4 linked regions of the Caenorhabditis elegans genome follow. The protein of the gene in region 2 interacts with the protein of the main gene of each other region in a pairwise test. Each region holds a gene or a part of one and is shown on either strand. Other genes may lie near its edges.

Region 1 (7,278 bases), on a different chromosome or scaffold from region 2:
AATCGTTCTCGTAGCTCATCGCGATACGAGTCATTAGTCTTAAGGCAGGTCAACATGCGATTCATTTCACACAGATGTTGCTATAACAAATTCAAACAATTATGAAATACGGGGCCAGGAAAGATGGCACAATTTAGGAGCTTCACAAGACAAGAAGAAATTTTGCTGGTGGTTATGATGGACTCCCCCTGAGCATTCATCAGCCTACCGTATACCTGTCTACCGGATGTCTCAATATGCTTTTATTCATGAGGCTTGCACACGCAAACAAGTGCTTTGAAATGTAAGTAAGCAATGGACAGCAGGTGTCGAATAGCGTTTTGTGGATTCAAGAAAAGATAGAAATGATAGAGGTGATAATGAATTAGTTATCACGATTACTTTTAAGTTACTCATTGAAGTTTCCAGAAAGCGGTTTTCAATACCAAAACATTTATATAGTATTCTAATATTTAGGGAGCCTATTTTGTAGTACTAGTTTGCATGGATGGTAAAACTATTTTCGGTCAGTAGTGCTTTAAACTTTTCTAGTTGTATTCCAGTTTTAATAATGGTCAAAGACCCTTTTACAATTAGTAATGGCCAAGAAAGGGTGAAACGGCCGACCAAAAAAAGCAATCTATGACTAATCGATTCACAACAATACCATTCTCTACACACCTAATTTGTCTCTTTTCTTCTCGAAAAGCTGAGAAAATGGTTTTGTGGGAAAATGTGCACTCGGTCCTTGTTAAGATGTATACATCAATGGTGATGGGTTTCTTTTGATACAACATTTCTTACGAGAACATTAGAACCTTTGATCTTTTTGCATTAAACAATAATTCAAATACTTCAATTTCACCTTCCCGCGGGACCGTTAGTATCAAATTCCACAATTCATCGATGTTGCCCTTGGATAACTTGTTGTTGTGGGGATGGAGGAAACAGGGGCTAAGAATCGAAATCTATGAGCAAGGCCTGGTTAAGCCGATTATAGTCTAGAGCAGGATGGATCAAGGCCTATTTGTCAAATGGGAAAGGGCATAATGTTCGTTCAATATTGAATATTACAAGAGCTCCGTTTTGGTTTGACAACAAAAGATAGGTGTTATTAAGTGTGATATATAAAAGAAGAACAAGTGTGACAAGTGACTCCTTCCGCTGATTTGAGGTCAGTTTTTGAAAGAAAAAATTTTCGCAACAATTTCTGTTCAAGATTCGTATGAGAGTGGGACGAAAAGATGAAAAACGGGGGAACTTTTGTCGTCTTCCAGGAAGATGCAACAATTGACAAACATCTTGGCAGGCATTGTTCCATCAAGAGCTCGGGGTTCCCTGTGTCTTATCTTCCTATCAAAGATTTCAAACACGAAAAACGGATAGGAAAAAGTGATACTACGAGTACAAACGTTAGTTCGACGGATATTTTCAACACGTTCAAAATGGTGATATTTGTGGAATCGTTTCTCAAGGTGTCACACACTCTACTTACCATCAATTAACGAGACAATAGATAATCAAATAATGTCGGGGCAGGTGACAGGTTAGCAATAGTTGAACACCTAATAGAACATACGTCTCATGGCTTTGTTCCGTGTATCCGGGGCGCCGGTGACAACTGGCTCTTGTGGCGGCTGAACCTCGAAACAACGGTGCTCTTTTTCTCTCGATGTCACACTTTTTGAGAAACTGAGAAACTTTTCGTGCAATACAATGGAGCTCTCATTGCACTTTTAGTTTGGGACAAAAAATGTTGATAGGCTTGACGAGCGATGAGACACTGGGACAGTGGGACAGCGCAGATGTTTGATGAGCAGGAATGATGTTCGATTGTAGTGTTTTGCGAAGAATTGTTGTGTGATAAGTTTATGAAAAAAAAGTTAAGTCTCATGCACAACAAATAAGAAAGATTTCAAAAAAAGGTAAATCAAATATATTAGGTCTCCAAATAAGTTCTGGGTCAAAAATCATAACTTTGTTCGCTGTGTATCGATTTTCATGAAACTCTGGGAATTTATGTTATCAACTATAATCTTTCATTTAACAATAGTCACGAAATTTTTTGACCGCCCCAAGTGTCCTAACTCGGAGCCAATTTTTTCAGGCATTTTTCTGATCTCGCTTATTTTCAGCTTTGAATTGAGGGTTGTGTGCGGATTTTTCTTTGTTTAGAATACATTATTAGAAAACAACAAAAGTTTTGAAAAAATCCGTCCAAAAAAATTTTTTTTGGTTGGTCGTCAAAAAATCTTCAAAAAAATTTTTTGTCGAAAATTCTAGATTTTTCCTACAAAAATGATGTAACCATGAACCTCAATTGAAATTTGAAAAGAAGCGAGATCAGAAAAATGCCTGAAAAAATTGGTTCCGAGTTAGGGCACTTGGGGTGGTCAAAAAATTTTGTGACTATTGTCAAATGAAAGATCATAGTTGATAACATGAATTCCCAAAGTTTCATAAAAATCGATACGCAGCGAACAAAGTTATGACTTTTGACCCGGAACTTATTTGGAGACCTAATATACCACCAAATATTTCTCTACAGTGTGCCCAACGTCTATAGCACCACCCCACTAATTTGAGAGTTTGGTGTTTTTGAAAATATTTTTTGAAAAGGTGTTAGTACAGTTCAATAGAAAATGTTGAAAACCTATGGTCCTTGATTTTCACAACTTATATCTCAAAGTTTAGTTCGAAATTTTAACAATAAACGAGAAAATTATGAGGAGCCGAGAACTGGCCCCTGTCAAAAAATCCGATGAGTGCTATAGAAGTTGGATGAATGTTTTTTTTACAAAATTTTTACTTAATTTTCAGGTATCATCATAAAACTGGGGGAGCATATCCTTTGCAGCATTTGCTATCAAACTGTGCTGACGTTTTTTTCTGAAAATAATTTGGAAGCACCAAACTCCCAGATTAGAAAAGGGATGATATAGACGTTAGTTGTAATGTATTAGTCTTGTACTCTCATTGCTTTACTTTGACAGCTTCTATCTCGGTTGGCAAATTATGTGCAAAATGTTTTTGTACATTTCAACAGTAAATAATTTTTTGGTAAAACTTAAGAAGACTGATATACGAGGTAAATCCATTGGGGTGCAAGTTTAATACGGAAAATGCGGTTTTTAACTACAATCAAGTATGTCAATGATCACTCGCATGTTTCTCCCTTGAAGCTCAAGCTGAATAGAGTATGGTTTCAATAGATTCTCAATAGAGTATTCAAAAGAAATAATTGACATATACACCCTACCAAAACTGCAAACACAAGAGCAAGGATAATTCATCATCGAGATCTCCAATTATCCCTTACAGTCTGTCAAGAATACATGAATATTTGATAAGGTAAAGTATGGAAGAAGAAGGATAACACAAAGGATAGATAGAAAAGAAGAAAAAACAATTATTTATGGAATTGGCAGTGCCCATAGGAGGCACATGATGATAAACTCGGAGTTAGCTAGGATATTAAAGGGATCATGAGCAGTGACGGGTGCGGCGATTTGGCCTACTATTATTATGATCAACAACGGCACACGACAAGGAGAAAATAAGACTAGACAAAGTAATAATTCTTTGAAATCTGTCACCAAATCTGGAAGTGTTGCTCTTGCTCCAAATGCGCAAATATAGGCAAAAGTGTGAGAAAAGTAAAGTTGGTGAGGAAGAGAATACTTACCAGATGCTTGCTGGTGCAAATACTTGTTCTACTTGTTTTGTTATTTCAATGAAAAAGCAAAACAGTGCTCACAACATTAAAAGGGGAAAGAGCATGGCACAGTAGAAACTAGAACGGAAACTAGTTCTTACTCACCACTATAGAGCCATTCGGGAGATTGTTGTTACTGATCCAGCAGTATTATGGAGTATTGATTTTATTTGGAGTGTCTGGAATTTTAAATTTGCGTTTGTAAATTCAAGCCTGAAGAAAACATTGAAAAAGAAGAATCAAAAGCGTTAGAAATTGAAACTAGAGAAACTTAAAAAGGCCGATTATTTGAGTTCAGTGGCATTATTAATTCAAACGATTCACACGCGCTGAATGAATTGTGAATTATGAAGGAGAACAAAGATATTGCACAGATATATATCAGAAATTCCTTTTCTTCAATTGAGGATAGTCTCACGATTTGTCCTTTGAGGGTAAGAAGAAAAAGAAAAGAGAAAAGGTTCAAGTGAATAAAAGATGGGGGCAAAATGGAAAAATGAGAAAAAAAATGTTTGGTTGAAAGTAGAAAGCAACACTTAGAGAAACATAAGTTCAGTAGTCAAACAGAAAATATAACTAGTTGTCCCACAAGGAAGCCTATGGTATTAATTTTTTGTTTTGGACTGTTCACGAAATTTCATTGGTCACTAGTTTCAGACATGGTGACCCAATTGAACTGGCAATTTCAGACAACAAACTTTGAACCAAGAGAAGAAGAGAGAGGGAGAAAACAGGAAAAAGCTGGTATTGGTTGTCTAGGTGATTGGAAGAGGGAACTGGTATCAGACAAGTGGTTCAAGGTAGTTGTGTTCCATCACACAATGAAGAGAATGAAAGAGAGTGACCACCCCACCTGAAAACAAAACTGACCACGCAATTTGTTTGTCCTCTGAATCGTCTCACAATAAGTTACACACTGTGCCCTCTTCTCTGCAAAGTGGGTGGTGGTGGTGTGTTGTCGGAGAGACACGGTGGGGACCCGCGCTTCTTCAGAACTGGATGTGTTGACCAATGGCGCAAAAGTTTTCCAAAGAACGCGAAATGGTAATAGGTCGAGAACCACTTGCAACAATTCCATAATGTTTCTTTTAGTTGACACAATGCACCTACTCAACCTCGTTTCGAAGATTCGGAAATGCATTTATGATAGACTAAGAGGGCATCGCAATACGAGGACGGGAATCAATCATAATGTATTTTAGGTGGACATTTTAGCTTTTGACAGTAAAGAATATTGAAACACACTGAAATTGTATTTCAATATAGCCTAGAAATTTTAAGTAGGCCAAAAAGTTCTAACTATAGTGAGAGGTTATGACATCTAGGAACTTGGAATATTAAAAAAAATCTTAGTTACTACATACAACAAAATCCTAGAGTATACGAACTCTTATATAAGTCTATATAAAATAAGGTCAAAAGGCTATCACAAATGAAACCGTAAAGATACGGTTTTCTAGTTCAAGAATATACAGAGTCGCCCATAATTATGGCGACCACTTTGCAGTAACTCAACGTTTCTGTTTTTGGAACGAGATATTAAAACAAGTGAACTTACACAGTTATTAACCACCCTGAATAACTAGGTAAATTAAATAGGTTTGCATATTTAGAATTGTTAAAAACACAAGAACTGAAAAAACACATCGAAATGTTAAAATTTTAGATCTATGCTTGAACTTGAATTTGAGATTGAGACATTTAGTATTCCGATTTTCTAAGCAAACTCAAATACTGTTGCACAACGCGTGATGTGACTAATGTTTATGTTCTTACAAGTTGATATGAAAAATTACTATTGGAGGTTTTTCTTATGTCTCATAGCTGGCAAAATTATCGCTCCCTGATAAATTCAAGATTTATGACATTCATAACTCAAAAAGAACATACTTTTAAGGTTTTTACTCCAAAAATCAGAACTTACCAATTTTTTTACAGGTTGTGCTAGTTTGGCTATGAGTCTAGAGGATATAAGAGCCTATAATGCTAATGAAATACCACAAATGTAAAATGAAAAACTTTTAACAACAGCTCTAGGGTTATGGTGAACTGTCTTGGAGCATGAAAATGCTCGATGTTAGCAGAAGAGATTGTTATATTCATTAGTAAGGAACACACTATAAATCAAATTTAGTTGGAAGGTACCTATTACAAAGTTCATTACTACATCAACAGCTAGTATGTTTCAAGTACCATTGGCCAAATCGGTGGCAGTGACCCAAATCGCTGAAACTCCATCAATCGGAGTACAAAAGATATATATTCAGCGCCACACCCATAGGTAGACCTTGTATGTATGCAGATCCGAAAAAATCCATGCTTGTTCATTTGCCTCCCACCGGTTAATCTATTTCTTTCCCTGAGAAAGGCCGGCTTTGCCTTCTTTTGCCTGCTTTTCCTTCTCAATTTTGCCGCCCATTGTACCCGTGTTACGCAAAAGCGGATGACCATTGCGGCAAATGCATACAAACACAGGAGGTAGTGTCAAAATAATTTGCGATTTGCCTTTTTGCCTCCCCCCACCATCTCCTCATTTCTCCCTCATTCATCGTCTTTATTATTGACACTCGGAACCTGTTTGATTTGATTTGCCACTGGTCACTACCGTACGGATGGCATATAACTGTATTTGGAGATGACGATTAGCGCGACTGGAATGAATAGACAAAAAACACACGCGGAGAAAAGCCAAATGAAGAGGTGAACTGGGTACCGACGACGGCGGCGTCGATTGGTGATGGTACCCGTGCGGCACTCTAGAAAAAAATAGCCGAAAAGAGATTTAGAGAACTTGCTTCTTCCTCCTTTCCTGAATGGCATGCTGATGGCGCAACCGATCGAAAGAAGCGTCTTAAAAACTAATAGAGACAATAGATTTATAGAGACTTCAAGATACCACTATATTTTATCTGATCCTTTTTTTAAGTTGTCGTACAGGATAACACTTATCTGGACATTAAAGGGCTAAAACTTAGGGATGCAGGTGGCTCGAAAGAAAAAAAAAGTTACCGTACATAAGAAACAAATAAGTGTTGGAACTGATTTGAAGATAAGCGCAATTGGTCAACGAAGACAGAAAAGTACAAGAATTGGGAGGTATTTCAGCAGTTTACAGCGTAAAACATGAATAGACAGTATAGAAAGCGGAAGCGCAAACAGTTGCTATTAGTTTGATACAAATGTTTTGAAAACTGGTATGTTCGGTGAGTTTTAGGATGCAAAGTTGGAAATGTTGTGTGTTTGGAATCATTTTGATATTTAAAATTTGGAATTATATAGTCCAAAATTAATGATTACCTTTCAACAGTAACTTTTGAAATTGATGAGGTTTTTATATTTAAGAAAAATGTTATCATTCTAGTTATCATTATTTAAGAAAAATGTTATCATTCGCGGTAGCACCTGGAATGCTGGATTACTCTCAAATCCGCAGTGTTTCACGTTTGAGGAACGGATCGGCTTTTTGAATAAGCAATACGTATGGAAATTGGAAACAAAATCTAAAAATAACCAAGGTATGGACGATTAGTAATTTATTTATTTCATAAGGTCGCAACTATATAATGAGCTGAAAACCTATTTTA
Region 2 (6,898 bases):
TTTTGTAGAGTAGGCATTATAGGCAGGCAAGTTTTTGTGTCTAAATGCTATTTTTGTATTTACATACGTACCTTCTTACCTACGGCTCACCTGCCTAGGTACCTTCTATCCTCTGAAATTTTACATTCAAATCTCGACTATATTGTTTGCAGTTAGACTGAAAAGAAAGGTTCAGTAGACCCGCTTGTAGGTGTAGGCAGGCGTGCATAATATTTCAACTTTACTTTCCCCAATTCTCCAATACCCCGGTTGTATGTTTCCATAACATTTTCAAACCATTCAAAAAACGTTACGCTCAAAAAAAAACCTTTCCACTTTCAAATATATTTTGACTACATCACATCTCCGGGTCTGTCATCATGCGCAAATATGGTAATAAAGGATGGTGACATACTATAACACATCAAAGCGGCGCCCCTCTCCAATAAAAGAGAGCAATGAGCTCCGCTATTTTTAATGAGCCCCCAAAAGTAAAATGAGACATGGGGATTTCAAATTTACCTCTAGCAGATTGTCGATGACACACGCTTTCCGTTTATTCGTTGACGTCATACTCGTCATTCCCATTTGACTTCTGAAAGTTTTTTAATGAATTAAAGAGACTACGATGGTGATTTTAGAAACAACAAAAAAGACTCGTGATTTGAGGAATGTTATTTTGCAAATTTTAATTGGAAATGAGTCAGGGATAATTAAGGCTACAATGTTTCTGAATTGTTTAATAATGGGTCTGAAAAGATCAGAAAGATGCTATGGGAAAACTGAAATTTTTTCAAATGCAGCCATTTCATAACATTCAACTTTTCCGTCAACTCTAACAGGAATGCATAAAAAAAGTTCAAATGACAGATTGCGTAATGTATGACGGTTTCTAATTAGATACAGAGCCACATTTTGAGCGAAATCAATAATTTAAGAAATTACTCAAAAAGATAACCTGTTCCATTTGGAATAGAGTCTTTTAAATAAATCGTTCAACAACAAAAAAAATCAAGCAGAAGAAAAGCACTTTGAATTGGAAAATCCGTTTTCAGAGTCTATTATTTTTATGATATTTTATAAACATAAAAGTAATTTAGGAGGTTTTAAAAACAGTGCTTGAATTTACCAATTTCCACTTTCTTGACTCTTTCAAAACTTTATTCAAAAAATAATCCCGCCAAATGTCGGCCACTCAATCTTTTTTCAGAGCAGAGTAGGCAAAATTTCGCTGACTACAAAACTATAGACAAAACCTTTGGCAATATGATCGTCATTTAAAGTTTTTATCCATGTCTTTTAGTTTTGGAGTTCTGTTCATTTGAAGAAAGCCTCACAATGCTGAAAGCGAGCAGCCCGGTAGAGATGCGCGGCTCATTTTTTGGCACTTTGGAAACATTTACAAAATTAATTTTTTGCTCATTGTTGAGCAGAAGTTTTGTTCTGGAAATTTATATAGATATAGAGATTCATTTTTGTGCTCTCTAGAAATAATTTCATGTTTTATTGAACGATTTGAAAAGTTGCTCAAAAACTGTCTCAAATACCAACGTGCCGAGTTACACATGACACTCGGCATATTGCGATTCTGTAGCAGTTTTTCAGCAACTTTTTGAAACTTTCTAACTTGAAAAGCTTTGGGTGGCTTTACATTTGTCCAAAACATGGGACAACTTTACAACTCGTGGATTTGAATTTCATCTAACTATAATGTCACACTCTACACCGGAACTCTAAAAACAACGCGCAATGAGCTCCAATGAAACATCGCGAGACGTGTCCGAAATAGTGACAATTGAAAGTGTCTGTGTGTCGCCCACCAATTTATGATAAGTGTGTCTCATATAGAGGACAAATGCGATAAGACAGAGAGATGGACGAAGAAAAGTTGAATGGAGTTGTAGACGATTGGAGGTTCGGCTGGTGGGGAGGGACACATAAGGTAGGGGGGACCGCCTGTTTGAAAGGGGGGACTCAATGCAACAATAAACGTATTATGATTCATTAAGTTTCAAAACCAAGTAACATTATGGCAAGTATATTGAGGTAATGTAAATAGTGTCTCTCTCATAGACAGCTTATCAGCAAGAGAAAATGGAATTTGTTCTAAGACAGGCTGAAAGTGGTGGGAATCTGTGTTTCAAACTTTTTTTTGATACTTTTTTGGCCAAAAAAGTAAAGCAGAACATCTTTATCATACCTTAGTTTTGTAACAACCAAATTCGAAACTAAAACTTGAAAAACAAGCATTCCCACTATCGCTTTTACGATATCAACCATCTATTTGAACAAAAACAAAATAAGATACTATCATATTAAAGTTTGTTACTTTTGATACTGGGAATGAGCAAAAAAAGAGTTTCAGTTTTTTTGGGCGTGGATCCTAACTGTAGTATTTCAGTCAAAAAACAAGAAGAGCTTGCTTTAGTAACGCTACTGTACCGTACCATTACAATAAACTAGCCAGTATTGCGTAAGTACCCTGGATATGCCGAGATGGAGCCCACAATCAATGTCGCCTGCTCAATTAACAATTTTGAAAATTTAGGAAATTTCATAAATTTTAAAATATATAACTTCCACTTCGCGATTTTTCATGCACAGCCGCAATTCATTGAATAGGTATTCCCCTATTCACCCATTAATATTTTAAAATTAAAAAAATCATATCTTAGCTAGAACATAAAAATATATCTAAAAATTAATTCCAGATGTTTCTCCACTGCACATGAAAAAAAACAAGCAAACAGTTAATTTTCAAAACAAAAAAAAACATTTTAAATGTAAAAATTGTAGCTAGCTCCAGGCTCCAGTCATATGACGAATGAGGTAATCGTTGTTCGTTAAAAAGTATAAAATCACCTTCATTATCGGGCCTCTCATGGGTATTTAGATCATTGAATTGCGGTTTCAAAAAGTAAAAGTACAAGTCCGGGTCACCCACCACTTTTAATGGAATGTGGATATGCTCAAATACAGTGCTCATTGTAATGGGATGGCGTGGAGGATGATTTACCCTGTGTAACAGAAAAATAGTAAAAATGTTTAACACCGGATGTTTCAGAAAAAATCCCATTTCAAATAATTTTGCAGAGCATTTTTTTGAATTCTGTGTAATTCTTCACAACAAACGTACTGGAAAAAAATCTGGAAATTTTTGAATTTAGTTGGGTAAACAATTTTAGAAGCTGATTTTTTTTTCAAAAAAAAAGCTTCCATGCAAATTACCGGGCCTCGCAAGAACTTAAAAAAACTCTTATGAAAAACATTTTTTTGCTAGTTCAAAATGCTCTTCCGAAACTAATTTTTCTGCAGTCATCTATTTTAATAATCATATTGTTTGTCCCTAGTAAGGCTTACGATACCACAATACTTTTTGGATTTTTCTCTGCAATTTTTCCAGTATAAATGATATTTTTGATCATTGAAATGCCTTAACTTTTCAAAAAAAAAATCATTAATTTATTTTAAAAATATTCAAAAACACGCGAGAAGCCAACAGATCCAAGCTGGCGGAAAACTAGTTGCGTGTCAGAAATTATCGTGTCGCGTCGGGTCGCCCATCTTTATTCATCGATTACCTGAAAAATGTGTGACGACGATGATTTCGAATTCTCTACTCAACCCGAGTTCGGATCAACCAGTGAGATGAAAAACGAAGAGATGCTGGTTCCAAGTGATCCAAATTTCGAGATAGACGGGAGACGCGTTCAGGAGAATATGTATGATGTGAGTTGGGATGTGAAATTTTGAGACAATTTTTTTGGAAACAATTCTTCCAAAAATTGAAATAGTCTTGTTAGTCTCGGAAATACTTTTTTGGCTCGAAAAAAATCTTCAATTTAGTTTGAAAACTTCAAATGCACCTACATTGCTGTCTGAGATACGAAAAATGCCATTTTGGCTCCAATTAGCAATTCGAAAATAACAAATAAATATTACAGCAAGCATCGGAACTCAGCTATACTTACCTGGATACTCCATCTGAACATATCTGGACACCAATTGTACCTCTAAATGCCACCACGGTGCCGGTTACCTGTGGATATGTCAAAGGAATTATGCATCTCAAATTGTTCAGGTGCCCCGGAATTCGTCAGGCTTGCATCGAATATGAATGTATGGTGGCTTTTATAATGTGAGAGAATGAATTTATTCTGGAATTTCAGCACAGTATCTGACTCCGAAACAATTTACGGAACTTGGTGGAAAAGGGCGACAGAAAGACTGGAAGGCGTGTATTCGTGTGGAGAATGTTAGCTTGAGGTGAGTGCAGAAAGATCAATAAATTGTATGCTTTGGTTTAGGCTCAGGCGTATGCTTAGGCTTAGGCCTCGGTTTTAGGTTATGTGCTAGGCTTAGGTTTGGGCTTAATCGTAACCTTTTGCTTGGGACTGCTAGCCACGTTTAATTCTTAACGTTCCAGTTTTAATTCATTAAATTTCAGAACACTATTGGAGAACAAAACCATCGATTTCTATAATCACAAGAGTATCTGTCATGGACAGTGCCAAAGTCGCAACTACATGAACTCAACGGGCAGAGCTCCAGTTAACAAACGTCACCTCGAAGATGTTCTAGCTTCCGGAGATGATGCATCTGAGCCAACGGAGCAAAGTAGTGGACAAATTAGTGAAGAGCCAAGTAATATTTTAAAAATCATGGTGCATTTAATTTTAAGGAAATCCTATTTTTTCAGTCAAGAAAAGAGGTCGTGGGCGTCCAGCAGGCAAGAAAAACAAGGCAAAGCTGGAAATCAACTTTGTTGAATCAGAAGATCAGCTTGTTTTTGAAGAGTTCTTCCAGCCAGCTTTCTCAACAAGATCCCCAGCTCCAGAAAGACCTGTGTGCAGCCCAGCTCAGGATATTTACAGTTGTCTGCAAAATGGTAAGGAGTTTTTGCATATTTTCGAGTTTCACTGCCTCTACCTATCAAATAAACTTCCAAATGATTCCAGATCCAATGAGTTTCTGGTCTCAAATCAAGCGAAGCGGCTTCATTTCTCAATTCTGTGATGACATAATTGCCGGTGCTATCAATCTGAAACAATCTGCAATGACTCAATCCTTGAATCAAAATAGTGCATTTGTTCTGACTCGTGCCACATTTGCTCTTGGTATCCAGAAGCCGATTGTGAATCGAGTGCAATCGATCGAGAGAAATGTGAATGAACAGAAGAAGCAAAATGAAATGATGGAGGACCAGGGAAAATATCAAGAAGATGCTCAAACTGAAGCTGACGACTTGGATAATCAACCTAGATGCAGTTATCTTTTGGAGGATCTTTAATAGATTTTAATAATAATTATTTTTTGTTCTGTACTGTTCGTACCAGTACTAGTATTTAAATAAAAGATTTTTTCAAGTTTTAAGTGCTTTCAGAATTTAATCACAAAATTGTTCTATTTCCCAGAAGCTTCCAGTTCAATAAAAAAACTGACCTACAGGCATATAAATAACCACATTTTTTATTGGGTGATCTTGATAATTTTTAAAAATTAAAAATTAATATACGACTTGACAGACAAAAAATAGATTGACAGACGAAAAATAGATTGACAGACGAAAAAATAGATTGACAGACGAAAAAATAGATTGACAGACGAAAAATAGATTGACAGACGAAAAATAGATTGACAGACGAAAAATAGATTGACAGACGAAAAATAGATTGACAGACTAAAAATAGATTGACAGACGAAAAATAGATTGACAGACTAAAAATAGATTGACAGACGAAAAAATAGATTGGCAGACGAAAAATAGATTGACAGACGAAAAAATAGATTGACAGACGAAAAAATAGATTGACAGACGAAAAAATAGATTGACAGACGAAAAAATAGATGAGGCCCCACGAAAAGGGGAGCAGAACGAAAAGGGGATCTGCAAAAAGGGGATCTGCGAAAAGGTGAGATACGAAAAGGGGAGCTGGTACTGTGCCAAACGCACAAAACGCTTTTTTATTCTCATTCAACGCACGACTTTTTTTGTATTTTACGCTAAACAACACATTGTCTCGAAGTTGTCACCACATTTTTTATTGGGTGATTTTGTTAATTTTAATAACTTTGAAAATTAGTATCTGCCTTAAAATGAACTTTTTTGAAACTGTTTCGTCGGGGACTTGTTTCAAATTGTAAGCGCTTTCAGAATTTAATTAAAAAAATTTTCTAGATGCCAGGAGCTTCCAGTTCAATCAAAAAAACCCAATTTCAGGCATATAAATAACTCAATTTTTTTCCAAACTACAATACTCCTACAGCATTCATACAGTACTTCTACAGTACTACAGCTCCCTGTTCCTACAGTACTACTACAGTACCCTGACCATATCTCCCCCCTAACCCTTAACCAATATCCCTTCAAAACTTTGCAGACTACAAAGACTACATAGACTACAAACTATGGACAGACGAACTGAATTTTTCAATATATAAGTAATGTTAATACATACAAATAAAAATCAATTCGAATTTATTTTTAAAAAAGCAAGAAGATTATTTAATTTACATATTAATTGTTATACATTATGCAATTATTTCCCAGAAAACGCGAAATTTAATGCGAAAACTCAATACCAGTGACCTCAACCTCTCCATCAATTCTGAGTCCAATGTAGTCACCAATTGGATTCTGGGTACGGTGCTGGAAAGTTCCGAAGCGTTCGCGATTGATGAAGATTTGAATGGAATATTCTTCGTTGACAATGGTCAAATCGAATCCGACGTCCTTCTTGAATGGGAATCCACCTTCACGTTCCTCGGTGTCCCAGAATCCATTACGGTGAGAGTTACGGACGACCTAGAAGAAAAACATGGTGAATTCAAAATGATAATTATGTGGGGAACACGTAGAGGGAGAGGGACCTAATTTTTTTGATTATAGGGAAAAGTTAAATCAAATTTTTTAAAGTTT
Region 3 (9,247 bases), 1.9 Mb from region 2:
TTTTTTCTGAAAATTTTATTTCCAGACTGTCCGGCTCCAACAACAGGAGCAATTGGCTCAGCAGCATCACCAGCACCAGCAGCAGCATGCTCAATCGGAGCTCCAACAAGTTCAGCAAGTGCTCATCGAGCAACAGCAGCTTAACCAGGTTCGGAACTTGAAAATTTTCAGATTTTTAGAGTTTTTAGCTGTAAAAGTCGGTGTTTAGCTCGCTGAGAGCTTTAAAATGAGCCCCATATCGACTAAGTTTGGAGAACATTCAGGATTTTGGGTCTCACCACGAAAATTCCTTGGATTACTGTAGCTAAATGAAATTTCCTGAAAGTTCCACTAAGAAATTCGAATTTCCCGTCATTTTTCACACCCGGATCCTGTTTTCTAGAGCTTTACCACAAATATTAAAGAAATTGTGCATTTTTTCGTAAGATCCTCCGTGTTTGCGTATTTTCGGGGCTACAGTACCCCGAAAATTGAAATTTTGAGCTAGCAGCACGGGAAACCAGGATTTCGGAGTGAAAAGTGACGGAGAATCCGAATTTGATAGTGAAAATTTCTGAAAATCAATAAAAATCCTGAAAAATTGAATTTCTTCAAAATATCAATGATTTTTCTCGTAATTTTTCGAAAATTTCATTGTCAAATTTGAATTTCCCGCCATTTTTCACCCCGGGAACCTATTTTCTAGAGTTTTACCTTAAAATTTAAAGTAACTGTGCATTTTGTCGTAAGAAATTTGGTGCTTGCGTATTTTCGGGCCTACAGTACCCCGAAAAATTTAAATTTTAGCTCAGAACCCCGGAAAAAAAGTATTCAGTGGTAACAAGTGACGGAGAATCCGAATTTAACAATGAAAATCTTCAAAAATCAATAAAAATCCCGGAAAAAATCAATTTCTTAAAAATATTGATTTTTCTGTGATTTTTTTGAAAATATTGCTGTCAAATTTGAATTTCCCGTCATTTTTTACCCCGGGATTCTATTTTCTAGGGCTTTAACTCGGAATGTAAAGAAACTGTGCATTTTGTCGTAAGAAATTCGGTGTTTGCGTATTTTTGGTGCTACCGTACCCCAAAGAATTCAAAATTTTAGCTAGAAACCCAGAAAACCACGATTTAGAGGTAAAAAGTTACGGAGAATCCGAATTTAGCAGTAAAAATCTCCAAAAATCAATAATTTCCCCGAAAATTTACAATTTTTTTCCAGAATTCCCGCAAACGCAAGCAATCTCCACAAGCTCACTGGAGCGACGTTGATAATGTGGAGAATCTGGAGAATCAGGCGACCGCCGCACAACAAATTCCGGCAAAAAAACCGCGCTGGAATTCGGTGGAGCAAGAGCCCGAGCCCGAGGCTCCGCTGGAAGCCGTCGAGCAGCAGCAACAGAAGCAGCCGACAACTGACGGGCAGCACCTGCCGGATATTGTCAAAAATATTGGAGGATTCGAGATTCGTGTCATTCGAAGTCACGACCCGTCGCGCAGAATCTACACTTATTGATTTTTCCCGCCGCCGAAAAATCGAAAAAATCGATAATTTATTAATTTCTCTTGAAAAATCTCCCAAAAATCAATAATTTTACGACATTTTTCATCGATTTTCCCCCTGCGATTGTAATATTTCCCAATTTTTTACATTGTATTAAAAAATGCCAAAAAAACAATATTTTATTGATTTTTTTTTTCAACGATTTTTCAAAGTTTTTCCCGAAAAAAAAAACGAATGTATTAATAATTGTACAAAAATGTTTCCATTCCCCCCCCCCCCCCTGAGCCATTTTTATCAACGTTTTACCCAATTTTTCCACAATTTTCCACTTTTTCCTGAAAATTATCGATTTTTGTGTCATTTTTGTGATCTCTCGCGATTTCTATACAATACATATCTCGACCCCACGACTTTTTTTGTAATAAATTATTATTAATTCGCAAAAATTTGAATTTCCTTGGGTCTCACCACGATTATGGAGAATTTTAAGTTGCAAATTCGAATTCTCCGTAACTTTTTACCTCTAAATCGTGGTTTTCTGGGTTTCTAGCTAAAATTTTGAGTTCTTTGGGGTACGGTAGCACCAAAAATACGCAAACACCGAATTTCTTACGACAAAATGCACAGTTTCTTTACATTCCGAGTTAAAGCCCTAGAAAATGGGACCCCGAGCTAAAAAATGACGGGAAATTCAAATTTGACAGCAATATTTTCAAAAAAATCACAGAAAAATCAATATTTTTAAGAAATTGATTTTTTCCGGGATTTTTATTGATTTTTGAAGATTTTCATTGTTAAATTCGGATTCTCCGTCACTTTTTACCACTGAATACTTTTTTTCCGGGGTTCTGAGCTAAAATTTAAATTTTTCGGGGTACTGTAGGCCCGAAAATACGCAAGCACCAAATTTCTTACGACAAAATGCACAGTTACTCTAAATTTTAAGGTAAAACTCTAGAAAATAGGTTCCCCGGGTGAAAAATGGCGGGAAATTCAAATTTGACAATGAAATTTTCGAAAAATTACGAGAAAAATCGATATTTCGAAGAAATTCAATTTTTTCGGGGGCCCGATTTTTGGAGCCTGAACATTGAAATTTGGAAAGTTGTGCATTACCCCGAGAAAATCAAATTTTGAGCTAGAAGATCGGGAAAAATGGTTTAAGAGGTAAAAAATGCAGGAAAATTCGAATTTCTTGGAAATTTTACTTGAAATTTGATAATTGTGGGCGAAATAGAACGTTTTGAAGCTTTTTGTGTAGTTTTTTTTCGGTTTTCATTCAAAACTGTAAATTTTCGATCAATAATATGAATTCTACGTCTCTTTTCACTCCGGAAACCCAATTTCCAAAGCTCAGCTACCAAATCCTGAGAAGCTGTGCATTTTGTCGTAGGAGCTGCGGCGGTGTTTGCGTACTTTTGGCGCTACCGTACTCAGAGAAAATCAAAAGTTGAGCTAGAGACTCGGCAAAAAATGTGAATAGTGGGAAATTATGCGAGGATTTCGTTTTTGAAGTTGGTTTTCCAAAAAAAAAATTGATTTTTCGGAAAAAAATTTTCCAAAAAAAAAATTTTTTTTTTACAAAATATTGTTTTCCCCGCCGGGGTAACCAGAAATGAAAGCCGTAGAGGGAGAAAAATGAAGAAAGTGACCTTGAAAGTCCCTTTCTGCCATACAAAAAACGCTCCCCTAACCAGCTGCCCCCACACACACAACTTATTCCGAGGCACACGAGAGAGTACACACAATCAAAGAGACGCAGAAATGCGGCAATTTCGAGTGTTGGGGGCGATGAAGACGGCGGAGACCATTCATTTTTGCCATCTGATCACTTTTCCGATTTTTTCTAAATTTTTTTTTTTGACAAAAGTTTTATACAACTCGGTAAATAATTTTTGTACGTAGGCTTACTTTGAGGTCTTATAACTTTGGACTCAAATGAACTGTCAAATTTTAAAGTAAATTGCCTGAAAGATAAAGTTTTAACGCAAATTTTGGTAAAATTTCACCAAAATTCATTTGGTAGTTTTTGAGAAATTTAGGTTTTAATTGAGAAAATAAAAATGTTGAAAATTTTTTTTTTTAATTTTTAAATTTTTTTTTTTTGCATTTTCCAAAAGTTTAAATCAAAAATTTGATATTTTCTGAAAGAAAAATAAAAATATATTTAACGCTAATTCTGACAAAATGTCAAGCAATTTGCACAATTATTCTTTGAGATACTACAGTTTTACCGAAGAAATTTCATTTTTCAGTAAATTTTTCAAAAATTTAAAATTTAAATGGGTTTTCTGAAACTTTAGGGCAATAACACATTTTTTACAATAAAATTTTTTTAAAAAAACAATGAAAAGTACATATTTGTCAAGTTAGAAAATTTGAATTTTCACCAAAATTTTTTTTTAAACTTTTTTGAAATTTTTTTTTAATCCTTGAAAAAAATTTAAAAAGTTCAAAAAAATGTCTTTTCATCAGAAAATTTAATTTTTATTACAATTTGGTTATGTATATACTTTTATTAATATAAATTTATTGATATCCTCAACAGATATATGCTTTCAAAGGTTGAACTGGACATGGTGCATCGATCAAAAACTTGGACAGCTTATATCTCAGTTGTCATTGTTTTTATCAAAAAATCGATAACTAATAAAATGTTCATTATGAACTTCTCTATAACTTTGTAGTTGAGCACTTTTCCATATCTCCAAAATTAACAGAGATACTAGCCGTCAAAGTTAGAGTTAGACATGTTGCATCGACCTTTCCTAACTTTGACAGCCCATAACTCGGTTAATATTGAGCCAAAGGTTGTAAACTGACAAAATGTTCATCATGTTTTTCTCTATAACTTTGTTGTTTAACATTTCTCCCTACCTTTAATATTAACCGAGATATAAGCTTTTAAAATTTAATAGTACATTTTTCAGAATGTCCGACTCCCCGCAGAGCTGCAAAAAGCCGCGAACTCGGAAAGAAACTATTCAAAAGCGAGAAACACGAAGTAAGCATGAAAAACGACGAAGGGAAGAGATGAATGAAGTGATTTGTGAAATGTCGACACTTTTGCCCGAAGATATTCGGGCTCATAAGCTGCGAAGAGTGGATCAGAAGCCTCGTCAGCTGGACAAATGCTTTATCATTGGGAGTACTGTTGATATTATTCGGAATAGTGATTATAGTGAGTCTACAGATTCAAATTAGTAATAATATTCTAATTTGGAATTTTTTTTTAATTTTGAAAAAATTTGGAAAAAAATTTGAAAAAAAATTTCGAAAATTTTTTCTTTTTTTTTTGCAAATTTTTTTCCTAAATTTTCGATTTTCAAAGCTTTTTTCTTTGTTTTTTACTCTAAAACTCGGTAAAACAACTCTATTTCCTCCCGAGAAAAATATAAATTCAACCTATTACAGTAACCCTGATCCGTTTCGTGGCGGGACCCAAAATTTCAAATTACCTTCAAACCAAGGCATGTTGGGTGTCATTTTAAAGCAATCATTGAGCTAAACTCAAATTTGAAAGCCATTAAGCTGAAAATCTCGAAATTTTCGGAATTTTCAGTCAATTTCAATTTCCTCCATTTTCCAGAACCACCGCTGCTCTCCGACCCGCTCGTCCAGGATATTTTCAGCCTGACCAACTGTTTTATGGTTTTTCTGAACAATTTTATTGTCGTGGATATTAAGGGAGACCATCAGGCAGTTTTTGATATTGAAAAAGTTTGTTTTATTGATTTTTTTTCGATTTAAAAAAAAATTCAAAAAGCCATTAAATGGGCAGAGTTACAGGCCTCTGAAAATAATTGTTAGGCTTAGGTGTAGGCTTAGGCGTAGGCTTAGGCTTAGGCTTCAAACATTTTTTTGGGATTAGGCTTAGGCTCAGGCTTAGGCTTAGGCTTAGGCTTAAGCGTAGGCTTAGGCTTAGGTTTAGGATTAGGCCTAGGCTTAGGCTTGGGCTTAGGCATAGGCTTATTAGAAAAAATGGGAAAAAAAATTCTCAAAACATTTTTTTTGGAATTTAATTTTGTAAAATTTTCCAAATTTTGTCCCAGACGGGCGTGACAATCAAATGCACACTTTTTTAGTTGACAACTTTTTGCTAACCCTTAAATGGTAGCAACCTTTAAGCTTCAGTAACTCCGCCCATTTATTGGCTATCAAAAAATTTTCAACCGACAAAAGCTTCACCATGAAAAAAAATCTGCAAATTTTTTCAGTTGACAATTTTTTTCTAGCTTTTCTAGATTTGAAGATATTTGAGTTTATTTTTTTGAAAAAAAAAAATCCCAAAATTTTTTTTGTGGGATTTCATCTTTTTATAATTTTTAATTTTCCAAATTTTTTCCCATACAGGCGTCCCCAATTAAATGTTCCTTGTAAACAAAATGTCGTCATATTTTCGGGGAAATATTATCAAGGTCACTTTTTCCCAAAAAAAATTCGATTTTTTCGGACTGTGTGTCAGCTGACTTGTTTCAAGGTGAACTGGTGGTGGACCGGGGGTGGGGGGGGGGGGATTTGGTGAATCATTGGGATTTTTTCGGTTGGAAAATGTTTTATAACATTTTAGATAGTATAAAAATTTAGAAAGTTTTCGAAAAAAGTTTCAAAAAAAATTTTTTTTTTTGGACTTTTTCTGAAAAATTTTTTTTTTTTTGTTAAACTAAATTTTTTTAAAGTTAGAAATTCTAGAAATAAGTTGTAAACTAACAATTTTTGTCAAAATTTTTGCAAAAGATTTGAATTTTTCGCTAGTTGATAACTTTTTAGTAACCATTAAATGGGCGTAGCTGCTGCCTTCCGTAACTCCGCCCATTTCATGGTTATCAAAAAGTTTTCAACTAACAAAATGTTCATTTTGAAATTCTACACACTTTTTTAGTTAACAACTTTTTAATAGCTGTTTTAGTTTTTGAGATATTTAAAAAAGAAAAAAAAATTTTTTAATGAAATTTTTTTTTTCAGAAACGTATGATTGGAAAAGATATCCGATGTTTTCTGGACTACGATTCAACGTCCAAACTGTCATTTCTCACTTCCAAAGAAATGCTCAATGAGCTCCAACTCAAAAGCTTCATGGCGAAGTCAATGACGTGCAGAATAAAGGAATCGGCGGAGGTTTGGGATTAAAATGTTTTTTTCAATTCGAACAATTCGAAAAATTTAGCTTTAAAACTAATTTATTTGAATTTGGCGTGTAAATAGCTTTTGAATGACACCCATCATGCCTAGGTTCCCGCAATTTTGGGGGAATTTTCCGGGTCCCGCCACGAAAACTGGCAGGGTTACTGTAGTTTTGAATGAAACTAACTTTTTCAATTTTTTTCAAAAAAGTGTGATCACTGAGCTAACTTTGAAGAAAAAAATTAAGAAAAAATAGTGAAAACTAAGAAAGTTACAGATTTTCGAAAATTTGTGAAAAAAAATTTTTTTAAACAAAATTTTTTACCAAAAAAAACTTATTTTGTCAATTTTTTTTTAGCTGAGAATCACAATTTTACTCTCAGCAACCCAGAAAACCTGCAAAACCTGGTAAAACCAGTAAAAACAACCAAACTACAGTAACCCAGAAAGTTTTCGCGGCGGGACCCGAAATTTTAATCATTCACGGAATATAGGCATGATGGGCCTTATTTTGAAGCTCTGGACGTGCTTAATTTGAAAATGTACGAGTTTTGGCTCAAAATCGTGATTTTAACCAAAAAAATTAGTTGTTAAAAAATTGAAAAAATTTTTTTTTCCAAAATTTCAAAAATTCCTAGAAATTTTTAAAAATCAAAATTTTTCCAGAAACCCACGGAAACAGTTTTAGTCTGTGTGCCTGATGAGCTTCCAGCTCTCCCGGTTACTGTACCCAAGGCTCCGCCCATTTTAGCTTCGCCCCTTCAGAAGACACCGCCCCCGCCGTCGAGTTTGGAGGTGAAAAGCCCGATTTTGGCGGCACTTTTGAGGCGAAAAGAGGATAATTGTGTGAAAGTGGTAAGTTATTAATAAGAATTAATAGTTTGGCGGGAAATTTCAAACTTTTTGAGAAAAAAAAAATTGAAATTTTTTTTTTCGGAACTTTTTTTTCTAAAAAATTATTTAACACTATTTGTTGAATTCCAGAGCTCCCCAAGCTCCTTCCTCTCGCCGGGCTCCTCCACCTCGTCTACAGTACCCAATGTGAAACCTACAGTAACCCGCCGACCTACAGTACCCACAAAACGGAAGAGACTACGATCGATGAATGTTATAGTGGAAAGTTATCCGTTGGATGATGAGAAGTCGGATGGAAATTCACAAAAATCGGCGAAAATTGGGAAAAAGAGGTTTTTTCTAACAAAAAAAAACGTTAAAACCTACAGTAATCTACTCCAAAATCCATGCGAGACCCTTAAAACTGAAAATTTCAAATTTAGCTCAACAAGACCTTTCAAATGACCCCCATCATGCCCGGGTTCAAATTTTCACAAATTTATTCAAAAGTTGGGTCCCGTCACGTGGGGTACTGTAGCACTGGTTTCAGCTGTGTCAGTGACATAATTTCGGAGTTTTTCCGAAGCTCTAAGCGTGCGAAAGTTAAAAATGTTAATAAAATTCTTAACATGTAAGATTTTATTGATTTTTTCAAAAAAAAAAAATTTTCTAATTTTTCTGAAAAAACTTGCAAAACTATGTAAATTTTCAGCCAAACTAGCACTATTCCAACTCCGAGAAGCACTTTGAGCCCAACTACAGTAATCCATCCGTCCACGTCACTAATTCAACCGATTCCGACACTTGGAATGAACCCATTTGACATGTTATCACCTGGTTATCAAGATGTATGTGAAAATTATCGATTTTTAATGGTAAAATCAATAAATCATCGCTAAAAACTAGTTTTTATCAATAGAGCGCACTTGCAACACGGTTTTAATTCAAATTATCGACTTTTCAACTACAGCTACTATCAATTTTCCAGATTTGGCTCCGACTACAAAGTGAGCGACTTCTGCTGGAAAAACGAATTTCAGCGAAAGAAGGGGAGCTGAAAAACCTGATGCAATTCGTTCAAAACCCCCCGTTTTTGAATTTCCCCCAATATATGCTCCCGCAAGGGCCACTTGGTGCTCAAAATCAATAGTTATGGGTTTAAATGAATAAAATAAATATTTATTTACAAAATTTGATTATTATCGACGGGAATTTGTTTAAAATACTGCAAAATATACTGGGAAATTTCCGGAAAAATCATTTCGAAGTTAATTATCATTTGAAAAACCGCCGAAAACTGTGAATGCGCAAGGAGAGGTTGCTGGCGCATTTCTCTTGTTGCTTGCGCACTCTGCGATGAAATTAATTTATTTTATTTTTTCATCATTTTCGTTGGGTTTTCATCATTTTTCAGCGATTTTTTTGCAATTTTTTTCAAAATTCCCATCAAATCTATAGTTTTTCTCACAGGAAATGGACTCGGCCGACCCTCAACTCAATCGATTCCTCCAGCAACTGCAGGCGGAGACGCAGCGTCAAAAATTCACCGAACAAGTGCACACGCTCACCGGTCGCTGCTGGGATGTGTGCTTCGCCGACTACCGTCCGCCAAGCAAGATGGACGGCAAGACTCAGACCTGTATTCAGGTAAAAATTTGGGAAAATTTGGCAATTTTCTGCAATTTTATGGGAAAATTGAAGAAAAAATTTAAAAAATCCAATTTTTTTCCGTTTCAGAACTGCGTAAACCGCATGATCGACGCCAGCAACTTCATGGTCGAGCACTTGTCCAAGATGAACGGAG
Region 4 (7,402 bases), on a different chromosome or scaffold from region 2:
TATTGCACAAATTGTTGGTTGGAATACGGTATTTATTGCATATTTCAGCCGAGAATACCACTATTCAAACCATCAATTCGGATAGAGAAACACACAAGTCACAGACAATATATAGGGAAATTCAGTTCAGTTGCCGTTCAATTTTGACCTACTTTGCGCAAAGTCTGAAAAAGTTGGGTCTCGCCACGAAAAAAAACTATTCGAATTTCCTACTAAAAAAAAAAACAAAAAATACAAATTTCGATTTTCATGGGAAAAACATCGAAAAATTCAAGAATTTGCCGTTTTTTCCGTAAAAAACGAATTTTTTTCCTGAAAAAAGCCACAAAAAATTCCGAAAATCAAGCGGAAAAGCTAAAAATTCTAATTTTCAGCAGGATTTTGATTTAAAAAATTAGAACAATCCAAGAAACCACTAGGTTTTCAACAAAAAATTGGAAATTGAGCAGAATTTTTCAGTTTTTACAGCTTTAAAAAAAAACATCATAAATTCCGAGTTACCGTACCCAAATTTATAGCTTTCCTCGGAAACTGGGATTTAAAAAAAACAGAAAATTGTCAGAAAAAAGGGTTTTTATGGGTTTTTTTTTCAAATTTTATAATAAATTTTAATGTCGAAATTTCCAAATTTTCTACTTTACACCCGAAAACAGCCAAATTTCCGCGCTAAATGAAAATTTGGGCATAGCTTCCGCATCCCCGGTGACAAATGTGCTCTATTGCACCGAATTGTTGGTTGGAATACGGTATTTATTGCATATTTCAGCCGAGAATACCACTATTCAAACCATCAATTCGGATAGAGAAACACACAAGTCACATTTTCATGAAATTTACACCTAATCATACTGGAAATCGGTATTTTTTTTTTCTATTTTGCTTGCAGTTTTGGCAATTTTTTCGGAAAAAATGAGCTGAAAAACGTGTTTTTTCAGAAAATTTTCAGGATTTTTGGCGTTTTCAACCGAAAATATTCAAAATTTTATAGACAAATCTGAAAAATTCCAGAATTTTCATGTATTTTTAATACTTTTCTCTTAGAAAATCAAATTTTTCCGATTTTTGAAGATTTTTAGGCTAGAAATATATTTTTTACACAGATAATATTGGAAATAACCAAGAAATTGGTAGAGCCTCTAAGGGACTCAAAAAAACCCGGTTTATCGGATTTTTTGGCAATTTCGTATAAAATGTCCACTTTCCAGATTTCCCACAAAATGGAAGGTTTTTAAATAATTTTTTTTCAATTTTTCTTGATTTTTTCCGAATTTTAATATAAAAATTCCCGATTTTCAACTTCTCCCGCCGCACCTCAATATAGAAATTCTTCTTGAATTTCCGATAATAGACCTTAGAATGGTCAGTTTGTGCCAACATTCGTCCTTTATGACATAATGATGCTGCAGCCGTCTCAATATCAAAATCATCAATAACCATATCCATATTATCCTCATTTTCCAGCACTTGTCCCTTTTCGGGCTCCGGCTTCTCCTCCTGCACAATTGTCACAATTCCAGACGCTTTTTGCGTGGAGTTTCCGGTTTTTTTGGCGTTTTTAGTGGCAATTTCTTTCATAAAAGCGTCCAGAGGGTCCTCTTCGTCGTCTGTATCCATTTTTTCGACTTTTTCTTCCATTTTCACCGGGTTTTCCTCTGAAATTCCCTCATTTTTGATATCAAATTCGTCTTCATCATCCTCATCCTCCAGATTCCAGGGCTTTTTCTCAGATTTTTCATCAGATTGCTCAGATTGTAGATCAAGCTCTTCCTTCTTCTTTTGGGCTCTCCACTTCTCCACATTACGACGCCTACGCTCGACTCCCTGTAGTAATTCGGCTTCTTTCATTTTCATAACTTCTTCGGTGTCTGCAAATTGATAAAATTAAGGGGTTTTTTTGCAAAAAATTGAGAATTTGGGCTTTTTCACACTTTTATGGGTAAAAGCCGGCTGGAAATTCAATTTTTTGGGTGAAATTTGAGAAAACTCACTAAAATGTTAGGTTTTTTCGTAACAAAAAGTTGAAAATTGGCCTATTTCTTGCGAAAAAAACATAAAATTCACACTTTTCTGGGTGAAAATCGTCTAGAAATTCAGTTTTTTAGGTGGAAATTGAAAAAAAATCGCTTAAATTTTTATGTTTTCTTGGGAAAAAGGTAAGAACTCTATGGATTTTGCATGAAAAGTTCATAAAATTCACATTATTTTTTGCAAAAACCATACAAATCAGTGGAAAATTGGAAAAATCGCTTAAAAATGCATTTTTCTGGGTGAAAATTAGAGTTTTTTTTTCGCAAAAAATTGAGAATTCTATGGATTTTGCATGAAAAATTCGAAAATTTCGCACTTTTCTTGGTGAAAAATCGCCTAAACTTCAATTTTTCAACCAAAAACCTTTAAATTTGAACAATTTTCGGCTCTTTCTGTTGACAAATTTGAATTTCAACGGTATAAGGCGAAAATTGAATCAAAAATTCAATTTTTCTATCCAAAAATTGTCCGAATTTCGCTTTTTTTCTCCGGAAAAATTAGAAATTGCATGAAAATAGCAAAAATAAAAACGGCAAAAATAGCTGAATTTTGATGCTTTTGGCATGAAAATCGGCTAATTTTTGCGATTTTCAGTTTAAAAAGTTTTTTTTTTTTACCTTAAAATCCTATTTTTAGGCTGAATTTCGTTCAAATTTCCCAGTTTTAACTCAAAAATTCGAAAATTGGGATTTTTCCAGGCAAAAATTTGCTTTTTTTGGCTTTTTATCGATTTTTTTTGCCAATTTTTTTTGCAATTCCTTACCATTCCGTGACTCTTCCATTTCAAAAATCGCCGTTTTACTCTCTTTTTCCTTCTTTTTCTCTGCATCTCTCTGCTTTTCACGATCTCTCGTCTTCTCCCGATCAGTGTCTCGTTCTCTGCGTCTCTCCCGATCCCGATCTCTGTCTCGATGTTCCCGGTGCTCACGACTGCCACGTGGCGAGCGGCTCCGGCTTCTTTTTCGTTCCTTTGAACGGGAACGCTTTCGTTTGTGCTCTTTGTGCTCGCCGCGACCCATCGAAAACTGGAAAAAATTGGGGATTTTTGGATTAAAATTGGGAAAAATACGATTAAAGTGTGCGAAAACAATGAAAAATCACTGGAAATTCGTTAAAACCTTCGGATTTTTATAAAAGAACAATTTTAATCATTTTTAATTTCAAAAAGTGTTTTAAAATCCAGAAAATCTGATTTTCTGCCTATTTTCTGGCCGATTTATCGTTTTATGTAAGTAATTTGACTTCAATCTTCACTTTTTCACTTAAAAAACTTCGAAAAAAGCGAAAAATCTATGGAAAATAAAATAAAAACCGAAAAAAAAAAAGAATTTCGAAAATAAAAATTTTCCGCACTACGACACTCCGAAATCCCGCCGCGCGTGTTGTTTAGCGCTTTTAAAAATTGGCGCGAACGCGCAGGTGTTCAAACACTGTCCGTCGATTTTTCTCGCATTCCTCACAATTCTGTCGCTTTATAGCCGGCTTTCGCGCAAATTTTTGTGTAAATTACGTTAAAGTCACTTAAATTCAAGTTTTCCAGTGCGAAAAACTAACAAACTACTTGTTGCAACTCGGAAATTCAAAAAGTTGATTCGCAAATGAGCCAGCGATCATTTGGAAGTGAAATTGGAAATATGACGGCTGCTACGAATTCGAATGATATTGCGGAGTAAGTTTAAACGTGAATTTAAATTTAAAATGTTTTAAATAAAAAAATAAATTTTTTTTTAACTTATTTCTCGATTCTCCAAAATTTTGAGAGTTCTTTTTATTGTTTCTGGTGTAAAATTCAACGTTCTCTTCATTTTTCACATTGAAAACCCGTGAAAATCACTAAAAACCACTGGAAATTCATGAAAATCCAATAAAAACCAATGGGTGTGCAAGCGCGCCCCATTGCGAATATTTGAATTGTTTTTCGTTTTCGACTTTTTTTCTCCGAATTTCGAGCCAAATTTCTCTCTTTTTCCAGCGTTTCGCTCGCCACACCACTAAAATCGACGGAACAAATGGAAAAGTCGGAAAATGGGACAGGTTAGTGCCGAAAAATCGTGAATTTCCACCCGATTTTCACCTAGAAACCCGAAATTCCACAAAATAATGTTTCTTTTTTCAGCCGTCTCCCGCCTCCCAAAGCCACTCGCCATTGAAGTTTACTCGAAAGTTCACAATAGTGAGTGAAAAACCCAGAAATTGTGGATTTTTCATCAAAAATCTCCAAATTTTCGCTAGAAAACTAGATTTTTCGCGGAAAAATCCCCCAATTTTCAGGCAATTTATCAGAAGATGACCTTCTCGACGAAATTGAAGACCTAATTGATGAGAAATTCTTTGCCGGAGAGAAATTAATGAGCTCTGGCAAAGAATATACAGTGGTTTCCAGTGAAAAACGCGGTGGGCTCACACTTTACACAATGGAGGACGGCACCAAAATTGGACATCGCGATTTGAGGTGAAAATTGATGGAATTGCATGGTTTTCGGTGGAAAAATGTGGCGAAAAACCGTTGAATTTCGCTTATAAATCGGAGTTTTAGGCCAAAAATGACTAAAATCGTTAAATTTTCAGATTTTTCATGCAACAAATTTGAAAATTCCGCATTTTTTCTTCATTTTTCACCCAAAAAAAAAACCACTAAAGTTACAGGTTTTCATGAAAAATTGCTTATTTTAACCGAAAAATAACAAAAAATTGATTTTTTAATTCATTTCCCACGATTTTTACTTCAAAATTATCATTTTTAGGTCATTTTTTGAATTGAAAAACGGATTTTTAGATCTTTCCTGAGCAAAAATGGGGTTTTTTTCATTGAAAAATCGAGAATATCCCAATTTTTTAACCGGTAAATACGCTGAAATCGTGTTTTTCAGCCAATTTTAGACCTTTTTAAGTGAAATATAAAGTAAATCCACAAAATAGCTGCAAAAATGCGTAATTTTCAACATTTTTGCATGAAAAATCCAAAAATTTTCATGTTTTTTGATTAAAAACTCATAAAATTCGAGATTTTTGGACGGAAAATGCTTTAAAATATAATAATTTCACATAAAAAATGCTGAAATTTTTCATTTTTGCTATAAAAAATTTGAAAAATGTCAATTTTCAGCCAAAAAAGGGTCTCTCAGTGGGCGAAATTACGAAAAATGGCCATTTTTGCACTAAAAATCCCAGAAAATTCATTAAAATTTCCTCGAAAACCCGAAATTTCCAGTGAAAATTTATGGAAAATTAGTTTTTTCGTTCAAAAATTCGATTTTCCAGACAAAATGTCCACAAAAATTTGATTTTGCGGTGAAAAGTGTAAAAAACTGCAATTTTTTTTTTCAAAAATCCGTTTAAAAAGAGTCTGAAAAAGTTCAAAGATGTAATTTTGGATGAAAATTGTGTGAAATTTCACAATTTGGCGCTTAAATTGTCTCAAAAATAAGTGGAAATTACACTTTTTATGAAGAAAAATCCAAAATTTTAGAGAAAAAACCCTAATTTTCCCTCAATTTTCAGACGAAAAAAGGGTCTATCAGTGGAAGAAATCAAGAAAATCGCCATTGAAGATGCTGAATTTGTGGATGAAAAGCAGTGGAAAGTCCGGGAAGAACTGCTCGCCGAGAATCCGATTCGTGAAATTAAAAAATATGCTCCAATATTCTCAGCAAATCGGAAATCTACGCCGAAAACTGCTCAGCTCAGTGTGGCGGCAGAAGCCGATGATTCAGATGTACAAGAGGTGTCAATGGATGCTGAAAGTGGAGCAGAAGCTGCAAATAAAAGTGCTATGGTACGGGAAAATTTCGATTTTTAGCTGGAAAATTGAGAGAAAAATCTGATTTTTCGGAGAGGAAAAGTAAAGAAAAATCAGGATGTTAGCTGAAAATTGAAAAAAAAAGTAGATTTTCAGCTGAAAAATTGACAGAAACGCTATTTTTGTAGTCAAAGCTCGATTTTTCGTAGTAAAAATACAGAAAAATTAGGATTTTTCCTAAAAAATTGAATAAAACAGTGAAAAAATCGTGATTTTGACAGAGATCAACTAAATTCCGATGATTTTTAGCTTTAAAATTGACAAAATTTGTGAGAAATTAGATTTTTCGACTGAGAAATTGAGAAAAACGCCATTTTTCATAGTAAAAAATGAGGAAAAATGGGATTTTTATTTGTAAATTTCTGAAAAAACGAGAAAAATTGGATACATTTTGTGAAAAATCGAGAAAAAAACCACATTTTACAGTGAAAAATTGACTAAAATCTCGCAAAAATCGCCAAAATTGTGCCAATTTTCACCAAAAACTGTTAGAAAATATAATTTTTTAATGTAAAAATTGACAAAAATCATGCGAAATTTCCAATTTTCTGAGAACTTTCTGTTGAAACTTGTGAAAAAACCGAAAATTTTTGCAGAAAACTCCACGTGGAGCTCCGCGAGCATCTGGAGGCCCTGTGATCCTCTCGAGCCGCCGTTTACAAGAAAAACAGAAGGAAAAAGATGAAAAAGAGAAGGAAAAACTGGAGAAAAAGCAGAAAGAACAGGAAGAGAAGAAGCAGAAAAAAGAAGAGGAAAAGGCGAAAAAACTGAAAGAAAAAGAGGAAAAATTGAAGGAAAAAGAGGAAAAAGCGGCACGAAAAGCTGAGAAAAAGGAGAAAAATAATGGAACTATGGACAAATTTTTGAAAAAAGACACGGGCTCACCGAGCAGCAAAAATGCACCGTTATTCTCACCGTCGAAATGGGGAGAGAAGCGGATTGCTGTCGGAGTGAAAAAGATGGAAGATGCGTGGAAACGGCGCGATTTGGAGGTAAAAATGCAGAAAATTTGGAAAAAAAATGGAGCCAAAATGAAAACTATGTTTTTTTTTGGTTGAAAATTGTCTAGAAATTGCTAAAAATGGCTTAAATGTCCCTAAAAATCAATCGTATTTTGACTAAAAATTGTTTTGAATTTGAGAAAAAGCGCATTGAATTCGCTAAAATTAGCCAAAATCGTCTTAAGATTGTCATATTTTTGTGTGAACTTTTTTTTTTTGAATTGACGAAAACTCCTTGAAAATTGAGAAAATTTGGAAAAAATGAGCCAAAACGCTTTGATTTTGAACAAAAAAGGCTCAAAATTGTTCAAAAATCGTTAAAACTGGCTTAAAATTGCTTGAAATGCCTCTGAAATTTTGTATTTTGACTGAAAATTGCCGGAAAATTGTGAAAAAGTGCAAAGAATTCGGCAAAATCAGCAAAATGTGCCTTAAAATTGCCCGATTTTTGCTAAAAGTTAACGAAAACTTGGAAAAAATTGAGCCAAATATCTCTATTTTTGACTGAAAATTGGCTGAAAAAGTGACAAAAATGGCTAAAAATTACTCGAAATCGCTCTAATTTTGATGAAAA

The links.
Region 1: the proteins of gmeb-3 (region 2) and egl-13 interact in a two-hybrid assay, tested with the Caenorhabditis elegans proteins (one large-scale study listed by BioGRID).
Region 3: the proteins of gmeb-3 (region 2) and hlh-33 interact in a two-hybrid assay, tested with the Caenorhabditis elegans proteins (one large-scale study listed by BioGRID).
Region 4: the proteins of gmeb-3 (region 2) and F53H1.4 interact in a two-hybrid assay, tested with the Caenorhabditis elegans proteins (one large-scale study listed by BioGRID).

Annotation. Positions count from the first base shown.
Region 1 is NC_003284.9:5,660,432-5,667,709, reverse strand, and holds the start of egl-13 (Transcription factor egl-13), read right to left. Parts: upstream 3,874-7,278; 5' UTR 3,800-3,873; intron 3,346-3,799; exon of another isoform or gene 3,206-3,345; intron 1,223-3,205; exon of another isoform or gene 1,030-1,222; intron 1-1,029.
Region 2 is NC_003281.10:3,764,981-3,771,878, forward strand, and holds gmeb-3 (SAND domain-containing protein), read left to right. Parts: upstream 1-3,519; 5' UTR 3,520-3,567; coding exon 3,568-3,708; intron 3,709-3,923; coding exon 3,924-4,098; intron 4,099-4,148; coding exon 4,149-4,245; intron 4,246-4,426; coding exon 4,427-4,623; intron 4,624-4,678; coding exon 4,679-4,867; intron 4,868-4,937; coding exon 4,938-5,269; 3' UTR 5,270-5,348; downstream 5,349-6,898. Other genes in the region: C44F1.1 (uncharacterized protein), read right to left, coding at 502-567; lec-4 (Galectin), read right to left, coding at 6,542-6,784.
Region 3 is NC_003281.10:1,850,977-1,860,223, forward strand, and holds hlh-33 (BHLH domain-containing protein), read left to right. Parts: upstream 1-4,415; 5' UTR 4,416-4,416; coding exon 4,417-4,666; intron 4,667-5,074; coding exon 5,075-5,205; intron 5,206-6,450; coding exon 6,451-6,603; intron 6,604-7,275; coding exon 7,276-7,464; intron 7,465-7,593; coding exon 7,594-7,796; intron 7,797-8,155; coding exon 8,156-8,291; intron 8,292-8,431; coding exon 8,432-8,593; 3' UTR 8,594-8,627; downstream 8,628-9,247. Other genes in the region: pqn-82 (Prion-like-(Q/N-rich)-domain-bearing protein), read left to right, coding at 26-148, 1,204-1,497; ddp-1 (Mitochondrial import inner membrane translocase subunit Tim8), read left to right, coding at 8,917-9,090, 9,181-9,247.
Region 4 is NC_003282.8:1,306,598-1,313,999, forward strand, and holds the start of F53H1.4 (PHD-type domain-containing protein), read left to right. Parts: upstream 1-3,568; 5' UTR 3,569-3,626; coding exon 3,627-3,697; intron 3,698-4,000; coding exon 4,001-4,062; intron 4,063-4,144; coding exon 4,145-4,201; intron 4,202-4,299; coding exon 4,300-4,480; intron 4,481-5,529; coding exon 5,530-5,803; intron 5,804-6,423; coding exon 6,424-6,819; intron 6,820-7,402. Other genes in the region: ddx-46 (RNA helicase), read right to left, coding at 1,312-1,865, 2,792-3,047.